Rattus norvegicus: one gene and its partners. The protein of the gene in region 1 interacts with the protein of each later gene in a pairwise test. Links are inferred from orthologs where the notes say so. Each region holds a gene or a part of one and is shown in the gene's direction. Other genes may lie near its edges.

Region 1 (3,601 bases):
TTAGAGCTCTTCTTCATTTGTCTCTTAAATTAAAGGCCTTGTTGGAGAGGACAGCACAGAAACAGCCTTGACTGTAATTATTGTACAGATATTTTAATAGCATAAAGTAAGTATATTCCTTTTATTTTGAAACAAAATGGTCAGACACTGCCTTTCATGTGTTTGTTGCCTGTGGCACTCTTTTTAAAAAAGACTGTTACATATTAAATAGTGTACATATATATAAATATTACCTCTTTGTGTACAGTTGTGATAGACCAGACCGAAAATTTTATTTTTTGTGTGCTTTTTATAAAAAAAATTAATACACTAAAGAGAATCTTGCGGATGTGATTGTAATGTACCCATGTAACTTATTTACTTTTGAATGTTCTGTATCTTAAGACCTTTTATTAAATAAGGTTTTAAAAAAGTCATTGTTGAATGCCATGTTCTTATAGGGGTGTTTTTGCCAGCTGGGACTGACTGATAGGGAACTTCTCCCTTTCTGAGCCTTAAGCGGTCTGTTTTGCTATCCTGTATACTCAGTAAGGACAAGAAGTTTGCTTGGCTACAAAGAGAAGTAATCCGGTGGGGGGGAGGGTGTGCACACACACACAAACTTTAGGTTTTGACACACACACACACACACACACACACACACACACACACACACACAAATTTTGGACAAGAAAGCCAAGTCAGACACTCAAAGGAACCAGTAGGTGGAATCCTCTTTTCTAGTCTTATGGGGAGGAACGGAGAAGCTGCAGACTGTAATCTGGTGGTTCACGGAAGTCAGATTTAGTGTTTTCACAGCAGAGTGAATGCATAGAATGGATATGAGACAAGTCCGTCGTGGTAGATGCGTATCAATAAGGCCAACTTAAATCCACAGCAAAATTAAATAAAACAAAACATGCTTAGCAATATTGTTAAGGAGGAATCTGGGAAGTACGAGTATGGGGGAGGGGTAAAAAGAAATGCACCATCATAGAATAGACTACTCAAACCCCTTCTTGGCACCATAGCAACCGCCAGATCCTCTGGAGCCCGCGCATCTCGCGTCGTCATGGACACAGTTGTCACGGTGACACTGGGGGAGGCGAGCGGACCGGTTCCGCCCTCCAGTGCAGCTGCACGGAGGCCGTTGCTGGAGCGCGCGGCCATAAGCGCTGAGCAGAGCTGCCTCCAGCCCGGTTCCTCCCTCCTTCGCGCTTCCTGCCGCCTCAGTCCCCGGTGCTTCGAGTGCCGCCTCTCTCGGTGTAGCTGAGCCACGGCCTCGAGTAACCCTCGGCCGCCCGCGGGCCAGGGAGAGGTGGGAGGAGCTGCCACGCCCCGCGACCGCACCCAGTCATCTCCAGCCCGCAGCCAACCGCCTTGAGCCCACCTTCCTCCCCTTCTCAAAGCAGTGACGCAAGGCACAGCCGCAGCCAGTCCACTCCTGCCCGGACCAAAAGGGCGACATTCGAGTGATAGGCGGAGTGTCCCGTGGCACTGACTTGGGACCCGGAAGGGACCAGAAGGAACTCTGGTGTCTTTTGGTAATTGTGGTTGCTTGAAGCTTGTCGCCCCCTGGCCTACCGGGGGAGGAGAGCATGTTGTCCTAAGCCCAACAGCAGCACCGTGAGCCAGTCCAAGCACAGTCTGTAGAACTGGCACTCTTAATAGTTGGGCGAAATGGCTATGACACTATTGGAAGACTGGTGCAGGGGAATGGATGTGAACTCTCAGAGAGCTCTGTTGGTCTGGGGGATCCCTGTGAACTGTGATGAGACCGAAATCGAAGAGACCCTCCAAGCTGCGATGCCCCAGGTATCCTATCGAGTACTGGGGAGAATGTTCTGGAGGGAAGAAAATGCGAAAGCAGCCTTGTTAGAGCTCACTGGGACGGTGGATTACTCCCTGATCCCCAGGGAGATGCCAGGCAAAGGAGGGCTCTGGAAAGTAGTGTTTAAGCCCCCCACTTCCGACGCGGAGTTTTTGGAAAGGCTGCACCTCTTTCTAGCTAGGGAAGGGTGGACGGTGCAAGATGTTGCTCGTGTGCTTGGGTTTCAGAACCCTGCTCCAGCCCCAGGCCCGGAAATGCCAGCAGAGATGCTCAACTATATTTTGGATAATGTTATTCAACCTCTTGTTGAGTCCATATGGTATAAGAAGCTGACTTTGTTCTCCGGGAGGGACATTCCCGGGCCTGGCGAGGAGACCTTTGATTCCTGGCTGGAGCACTCGAATGAAGTCATAGAGGAATGGCAGGTGTCTGATATAGAAAAGAGACGGCGGTTGATGGAGAGTTTGCGAGGCCCGGCTGCCGATGTCATTCGCATCCTCAAGACCAACAACCCTGCTATAACCACGGCAGAATGCCTGAAGGCTCTTGAGCAGGTGTTTGGGAGCGTGGAGAGCTCTAGAGATGCACAGGTCAGATTTCTGAACACTTACCAAAACCCAGGAGAAAAGTTATCTTCTTACGTTATCCGTCTGGAGCCTCTGCTGCAAAAGGTAGTGGACAAGGGGGCCATTGATAAAGATAACGTGAACCAGGCTCGCCTGGAACAGGTCATCGCTGGGGCCAACCACAGCGGGGCCCTCCGAAGGCAGTTGTGGCTGACTGGGGCTACAGAAGGGCCTGCACCCAACCTCTTCCAGTTACTGGTGCAGATTCGAGAGGAGGAAGCCAAAGAGGAGGAGGAGGAGGCCGAGGCTGCCCTTTTGCAGCTAGGCCTAGAGGGGCACTTCTGAATCCCAGGACTGGCCAGGCTGCTTTTGATATTCCTGTGAAGTTTTAGTAAGCCTGTCCCTTAAAGTAAACAGCCAGCCTCCTCCTGCCTTTGTTTTGTTTTCTGAGGAATGGGATGAGAAAGTCAGGCCCGCATATTCCTGTAGCATTCACAGAATTGTGTAATTAGCAGGAGTAAAGGCGGTTCATAGTGCTACAGTGATGCCAGCCCTCCTGGTGACATCTCTGACAGCTGTGAGAAACATGAAGCTGCGATCCTTCCTGTCACGATGTTTGTGAAACTGCAAGTTCTGATGCTAAGTACATGCCCGGTTCACAGGCTGTACACTACAAACTCTTGTATTTATTTGTTACTAACACTGTGGACAGCTTTACTGTAAATTGTTGCTAATTTGTATCCATGGAAAGAATGCGACTTTTAGATATTACTCATCTTGAAAATGCAGATTTCTAATTCCTCGTGGCTCAACACTGGAATCAGTTTCCCTGAAAAGTATCCCCAGATTAGAAGTGGCGGGTTAGAAAGATGTGTTTTTATAGAGTGCACAATAAATCCTTCACAGTGGAAGATACAGATGTAAGTCATAGGGGGAATGGCCCTGGACAAGCTACACTTCCTCACTTCAAATATTTGTCATTATTGGTCATATTGATGCTAAGGGTTCTAAGTTTGAAGTTATTGAATAGATGGATACAAAAAAAATTTGAAAATTCTCTTTTTTCCTGACATGCATACAATTTTTCAGCATAATTTAGCTTCACATACTTTTTTCTCCTGACAAGGACTTTTGCTCATGTTTAAAAAAACAAACTAAACTACCCCCCTGCTATGAACTCAAGGTGCAGTGTCACCTACACATTTTGGTTGGCCGAGTTCCTTGG
Region 2 (3,650 bases), on another chromosome or scaffold:
TCCCTGATCAGCTGGGAGTGGGCCTTTTTCCCCCTCTTTCCCTAGTTTCTCTTATTAGCCAACAAAAGAAACATTAAAAGTAGCTTAAAGAATGGCCATTTCATAGAGAAACTCCTTCCTCCTTCTCTTCCCTTCTCTTCCCTTATCCCTTCTCCTCCCTTCTCCTCCCTTCTCTTCCCTTCTCTTCCCTTCTCTTCCCTTATCCCTTCTCCTCCCCTCTCCTCCCTTCTCTTCCCTTTTCTTCCCTTCTCTTCCCTTTTACCTTCTCCTCCTCTCTCCTCCCTTCTCTTCCCTTCTCCCGCTGCACCTTAGAAAGTGTACTTTTCACCCATGGCTTCTCCATCCCTCAGGCTTGGGCTGGCGGTATTGGAAGCTCCTTTTCTACCCTGAGAGTGACGCTTGGTTTTCACAGAGTGTGAGCATGTTTCTGTCTTAGCTAAAGAATGTGTTTTCTTCTTGGGTGGTGTTGGTATTAGCCCTGGAGTCTTGTTTATGCTCAGTGCGTGCTCCACCACTGGGCTGTACTCCTTACCGAGGAGAGCTTTATGTTTGTTTCCTTCTTTCTTACTTTTGTATTTTTCTTTTATCCTTTCCTTTTTTCTTTTTTAAGACAGGATCTCATTATGCAGCCCTGGTTGGCCTGTAACTCTGTGTGGACCAGGCTGATATGGAACTTACAGAAGTCTCCTTGCTTCTACCCTAAGTGCTAGGATTAAAGGCATGAACTACCATGCCCAAAGAGAGTTTAATTTTTATTCATTTATCTTTTTAAAGTTTAGCTTATGTGCATGAGCGTTTGCCTGCATGTATGGGCACCCCATGTGTGCAGTGCCCACAGAGGCCAGAAGAGAGTGTCCACTCTCCTAGAACTCATCTGGAAGACAAACTTGTAAAACTGTGTCGGTGCTAGTAATTGACCTAGCCTTCTGTAAGAATTCCAAGTGCCCTTAACCACTGAACCCTCTCCCCAGCTCTAATTTTCTAAAAGATAAATTGCTACCTGACTTTGCTCTTAATATAAACAATACAAACCAGAGTTCCCGTGTGTGCCTGAGGTGGTCTGTGGTCTGCATCGTAACCGCGGGAGCAGGCTTTTCGGCTGTAAGAGGAGCAGGCCCACCTAGGATGGATGTAGCAGTTTGTGTCGGGTCAGGCAGGCAGCAGCCGTGGCTGGTTCCGTTTCTCCAGGGAGCAGAGCTTCATCCCTGACTCTCTGCACAGAATCAGCTTAAAATGGCGCGCTTCACCATCGTGGACGGGAAGACGGGGAAAGGAGTCAGCTTCCAGGATGTGGCGGGAATGCACGAAGCCAAGCTGGAAGTCCGAGAGTTTGTGGATTATCTGAAGGTGAGGCTTGTGTGCTCAGCCAGTGCGAGGTGCGAGGGGTGGTGACGTGAGGGGTGGTGACGTGTCTTCAAGGAGGGCTGTGGTGAGCAGACACTTGGCTTTGAGATGGGAGTTCTCTGGGTGAGATGGAATGAGTGGGTGACTCTCTCACCTCGGGCACCGTGTGTGTCTGCTGGTAAACTAACAGTGCCAGCCTAAGTCGTCCTTCAGAAGAGAGGAGTGGACTGGCCCACTTCAACTGGGCCGTCCTTTCTTTTGGAGCCAGGGCCGCACGAAGCTCTTTACTGTTTTGTGGACGCACTGCAGCTGTGATCTACGTTCATGACTGTCACAGGCTCCTCTGTGTGAGTCACTTAAAGTCTCTGTTAAATGCCGACTACTTAGTCCTATGTCTGTTCCTGCCTAGAGCCCGGAGCGTTTCCTTCAGCTGGGTGCCAAGGTTCCAAAGGGTGCCCTGCTGCTGGGACCCCCTGGTTGTGGGAAGACGCTGTTGGCCAAGGCAGTGGCCACGGAGGCTCAGGTGCCCTTTTTAGCAATGGCTGGCCCAGAGTTTGTGGAGGTCATTGGAGGTAGGTGTGGGCTGAAAGTGTGGGCAGGTTCATTGGCTCGGTGCCTGGGTTGGCTTTCCACATAACCTCCCTGACATGAGAAGCTGAGTGCTACAGAGAAGGACAGACAGCCCAAGTGAAAGTAGATAAGCTTTGGTCCAAGGAGGTGGTGGTGCACACCTTTAACCCAGCACTTGGGAGACAGAAGCAAGCCGATCTCTAAGTTCAAGGTCAGCCTGGTCTACACAGTGAGTCCCGGGACAGCCAGGGCTACGCAGAGAAACCTACCTTAAACCACAGTAAGCTTTGGTCCACATCAACTTGGAAACTTCCACTTTCCCCTGCGGCTTGGGAGGCCAGGATGGCAAGATGCTGACTGCTTCTGGTCCATCTGCAGAACCAGCCACTTAGACATAGGCCACTTTGGAGGACTCTGACCCAAAAGTAGGAGTTGCTTTCCTTTACCTGTCTTTTGACTCTGTTTCCTCAGGCCTGGGAGCCGCCCGAGTGCGCAGCCTCTTCAAGGAAGCCCGGGCCAGGGCCCCTTGCATTGTGTACATTGATGAGATCGATGCTGTGGGGAAGAAGCGCTCCACCTCCATGTCCGGGTTCTCCAACACAGAAGAGGAGCAGACCCTCAACCAGCTCCTCGTAGAGATGGACGGTCAGTGCCCAGCACGCTTCGCCATATGCTGTACACCAGCAGGAGACTCTGAACCTGGTCCGAGTCATAGCTTTAGGGCAGACGAATCTCGTCACCTTTTCTGTTCTAGCACCTAGGGTATTTTTCTTCAGTCACTGTTGTGTATTGCTGTCCACTCCTGTCCTAATGAGGACATTACACAGAGAATGTTCTAGATGTTGGCGTCTAATAGCAGTCAGTTGAAGGGTTGGTTACCCATCAGTTTTCTACCTTTAAGAAAGACTGCTTAGCCTGATGGTGCCTCACACCTCTATTCCCAGTGCTGGGGAAGCAGAGGCAGGCAGAGCTCCGAGTCCAAGGCCAGACTGGTCTACAGAGTAGGACAGCCAGGGCTATAAACAAACATCAGAAACAAAACAAAATAAAACAAAACGCATCAGCCTTGGGAGCTGGACAGAGGGCTCAGTGGTTAGGAGTACTTGCTGCTCTTACAGAGGACCTGGCTTTGGTTTCCAGCATCCACATGATGGCTCACAACCTCCATAACTCCGTGGCATCCAATGCCCTTCCAACTAGTGGGTACCAGGCACACAGATGGTGCATATAACATAACTGCAGGCAAAACATTCATACATGTAAAATAAGTCAACTTAAGGAAATTCAGTTTTCCTTTCCCCTTTTTATGCTGGGAAGTAAATGCAAGGCTTTACACGTGTTCAGCATGGTCTTCACCTGCAGTGAAGTTCACTGGTCAGGCGTGGTCAGGGAAGCTGGGGCTGTGAGGGGCGGCTGGCAGCGAGGCCTCCTGGCTGTGGTCCCCCGATTTCTCTGCTGTGTGTCTCTGCCTTTGGAGGGGAGCGTGGGGCACAGTGGGGGATTCTTGTGTTCTAGGAGGTGCAGGTGTGGGACACTGTGAAGGAGACTTCGGACTGACTCATTCCTGTTGCTTTTCTTTGTAATGGAGAAGCCCAGTGGGGGAGATGTGGACTTTATTTTGAGCTATTTCTAGATTTTTTTAAATCTTTAAAAGATTTTTTGAAAATTGCATTAATATAGTTTATTTGTGTGTGCAAAGGGGCACATGCCATGGTGCACATTATAGTCAGAGGACA
Region 3 (3,650 bases), on another chromosome or scaffold:
CAGTTTTGTTAGTTGTTAATCTCTTACTGTGTCTGAAGTAAAGTTAAATTACTATAAGTATATATGCATAGAGCAAAACCCTAGAATATATGGGGTTTGGTACTCTGGGCAGTTTCAGGCATCTACTGAGGATCTTGGACAATCCTCCCATAGATACAGCTTAAAGGTAACAGGGTTTTTTGTTCGTTTGATTTTGTTTTTAATGTCATTATGTTAACATTTTAAAGTAAAATTGAAGATTTCTAGATCATTCAAGCATTTATGGTTATTTCCGTTTGAAAAACTTAGATCTGCAGTCTTTTTAAAGATCGTGTGTGTGTGTAGAGTGTGTGTAATTAGAGTAATTGTCAAAATGAAATTGGCACAGTGGAACTCCAATTTCATACCGCATAGTTTCATCATTTAAGTACAGTAAGGCCAGGAGGTTGTTAGCATCATCATTTTATACCGCATGACAGATGATGGAATATAGCTTAGAGGGTAGGTCCCAGAGCCGATTGGAGTAGATGGAGCCAAGTTAAACTGTCTGGTAGATCGCTTCCAAGCTGTGTGTGAATCACAGTGAAATGGAGAGACCGTTAGGACTCCCTCTTTGGTTCTTTTAAATAATTTCTTCTTAATGACAAATTTGAGATTTAGCCATTCTTTTGTATTCCAGGGGATTAGTTCCAGGGCCTCCTGCAGAGATCAACATTCTTACAAGTTCCTTATGTTAAATTTGAGACATAATAGCCCACATATCCTCTTTACAGTTTAAATCATCTGTAGATTACTTCTAATGCCTGATAGAAAGTTATACTGCATTGTTTACGAATAAGGACACGAATACTCAGTCTGTACATGGTCAGGACTCTGGGGTGATTTTCTTTTCAATGAATACTTGATAGTTAGTTGACTCTGTAATTGGTTGAGTCCAGATGTGGGACCCTTGAAATGTAGAAGGCCAGCTCTGCTGCTCGGCAGACACCACCCTAGCTGACACGACTCCTTAGAGCTTCTGGAATGTTCGTAGTTTAGTGTTGCTGAACAACTCCCAGTAAGAGTTCAAGTACTGAAGTCATACAGTCTCAAACCTGAGTTCCGGGCTGCTGGTTTTACTCTAAAATGATTACTCTAGCCAGGTGGTGGAGGTGGTGGTGGTGGTGGTGGTGGTGGTGGTGGTGGTGGTGGCGGCCATGGTGGCCGTGGCCTGCCCTTAATCCCAGCACTTGAGAGGCAGAGGCAGGTGTCTCTCTGAGTTTGAGACCAGCCTGGTCTCAACAGAATGAGTTCCAGGGTAGCACAAGGGGTACACAGAGAAACCATCTCCAAAACCAAAAATTACTCTAATTATTTAAAGTATGTATGTGTACACACACACACACACACACCTTATTAAAATAGTTAAAAGCGAAATGCCCGTGTTATAAATGGAAATTGGATTAAGATTCTCCAGGGGAAAAAAAAAGCTGAGACAAAATCTCATTAATTGTGGAAGCAACATATTGGATATCTGACTTCTTGTATGGATGATTAACATCTTCTTATATATGAACACTGTATTTTGAGTGTGTGTGCAGTTTGTAGGACAACTTAAAATGGTCATGTGGGCAGTTAGCAATTGTATAGGGAACATAGAAGGTACCTCTCTGGCGGTTTTACTTGAACAGGTTTTATTTTTCTTTTTTAGTGTGACCCAAATCTTCAGGTGTTTAGTGTTTTCATCGATAACCTTGATACTCGGCTTCCCAGGATAGCATTGTTCTCCACAAGAACCATAAAGGCTGGAGAAGAGCTGACTTTTGACTATCAAATGAAAGGTATGGTTTTTAAGAATAATCGTACTGGTGTGGGCTTTAGTACGACAATGCAGGCAAGTCTTTGGATAACAGACCAAACTAACACTGAAGAAGAAGGAAATCACTGGGAGGGGATCAGTGTGGAGATGATGAACCACACTATTCCGTACTCAGTTAAAGATCTTTTTAAAACTGAAAGAACTTGTGGAAGGAAGCTTGGGTCATCTTGCTTAAGGCCCAGAGCCCATCCCACAGACTAAAGCTAGCACTTGGTCTTTCTTCCAAGTCCTAGCAGCCTGACTTTTCTCAAGACTTCTAGTTTGGAAGCTTGACCTATCATAACACTAACAAAAGTATAGACAGTTTCTGAACTTTTACTAAAAGATATGACAGGATTAGAAGTATGATTTCAGTCACATATGAATTCTATGCCTTCTTGAATCTGGCTTTTTACAGTGCTTAATTCTGTTGGCTGTATTGTGACTGTGAATATCTTCTATGAACAGTGTGCGTTTCCTGCCGTTACTATGTCTCCTTGCTGTGCTCTGGGTGATGTGTAAGAGTGCTTGTGCATTGGACTTTGTCAGTAGATGGCATCATGGCAGCCATTCTTACTAGTTCACACCATCTTTCAAGATGGCTAGACTGAAGTGTCTCAGGATAGTCACAGAAGTGCAGGACTATTCATTTCCTTGGGAATAAGCATTCACTACGCAGCCCTGGCTGTCCTGGGACTCACTGTGTAGACCAGGCTGGCCTCACATTGGGAGATCCACCTGCCTCTGCCTCCCAAGTGCTGCGATTAAAGGTGTGTGCTATCATGCCCAACTAAAGTATCTCTTTAAGGTAAAGATGTATGTGTGTCCATGTGAATGTGGGTACCATGGAGACCAGAAGCTGGGGTTTCAGGCAGTTGTGAGGTGCCTGACAGGAATGCTGGGTATGAATTTTGGCCCTCTAAAAGACCAAGGCTCCTCTTCCTGCTGAGCCATCTTCCAGCCCTGTTCTCAGATGTTGCTCTCCTGTGTTTTCAGGTTCTGGAGAACTGTCTTCAGACTCTATTGACTACAGCCCTGCCAGAAAAAGGGTCAGAACCCAATGCAAATGTGGAGCTGAGACGTGCAGAGGTTACCTCAACTGAAATTTCAGGAAGTGGAGCTCACGTTGTTTGTTTTTTTGTTTTGTTTGTCTTCTAACAACTGAAAAAAGTATTTGGGACTCCTTTCTATTACCTATGTATTGTATTATATGATGTTAATGTACAATTCATGGCTCAAGATATATGCCAAGTATATTACTATTGATTCTAAAAAGGACTGCAAGGCCATGTAAACAAGATGGTGGTTACATGGGAAGTGAACTGTATAAATCACTTGCTTACTCGAGAGTCGAAGTAGACAGTCGTCCCTTTAGTTTTGGAAGTGAGTCGACCACAGCTATTATTGAGCCTTTTATCCTGCCTCAAACAGAGAACTCACTTTAGGCAAATGTATAAATTTTATTTTTTTACTATATTGTTTCTGTTTAATACTCACTGATCTTGTATCAGAGACAAATAAGTGACACTGAATTTTTTTACTGTATTTTCTACTTTTACATTAAAACATTGGCATCTTAATGATATATTTCAGGTGTAAAAAATGTGAAAGATTTACTTTTAGCTTGATCTTACTTTGAGGCAATAGATACCATTACAAAGGTATCTAAACCTGAAATTCTTAAAAGATGTTTTTACTCCCACAGAAGAAAAGTCTCTGATCACCTTCTCGGAATTCTGTAGTGCTGGCCACTGTGTTTCTGTGAACAGACAGACAGACAGAACAGTGACTGAGGACGCACTGGAGTGTCAGGCAGGAAAGGAGTACAGCGTAA

Evidence for each region. The genes of interacting proteins can lie anywhere in the genome.
Region 2: the proteins of Pnma1 (region 1) and Spg7 interact in binary tests that used the Homo sapiens proteins (3 or more experiments, as listed by UniProt). The two-hybrid records come from large-scale screens. The link is inferred for Rattus norvegicus from reciprocal best matches to the Homo sapiens genes PNMA1 and SPG7.
Region 3: the proteins of Pnma1 (region 1) and Suv39h2 interact in binary tests that used the Homo sapiens proteins (3 or more experiments, as listed by UniProt). The two-hybrid records come from large-scale screens. The link is inferred for Rattus norvegicus from reciprocal best matches to the Homo sapiens genes PNMA1 and SUV39H2.

The regions. Positions count from the first base shown.
Region 1 is NC_086024.1:109,512,732-109,516,332, reverse strand, and holds Pnma1 (paraneoplastic antigen Ma1 homolog), read left to right. Parts: upstream 1-1,165; 5' UTR 1,166-1,659; coding exon 1,660-2,721; 3' UTR 2,722-2,951; downstream 2,952-3,601.
Region 2 is NC_086037.1:68,039,059-68,042,708, forward strand, and holds part of Spg7 (paraplegin), read left to right. Parts: intron 1-1,221; coding exon 1,222-1,347; intron 1,348-1,753; coding exon 1,754-1,916; intron 1,917-2,385; coding exon 2,386-2,559; intron 2,560-3,650. UniProt on the Homo sapiens protein: Catalytic component of the m-AAA protease, a protease that plays a key role in proteostasis of inner mitochondrial membrane proteins, and which is essential for axonal and neuron development.
Region 3 is NC_086035.1:79,678,907-79,682,556, forward strand, and holds part of Suv39h2 (histone-lysine N-methyltransferase SUV39H2), read left to right. Parts: intron 1-1,669; coding exon 1,670-1,799; intron 1,800-2,812; coding exon 2,813-2,919; 3' UTR 2,920-3,650. UniProt on the Homo sapiens protein: Histone methyltransferase that specifically trimethylates 'Lys-9' of histone H3 using monomethylated H3 'Lys-9' as substrate.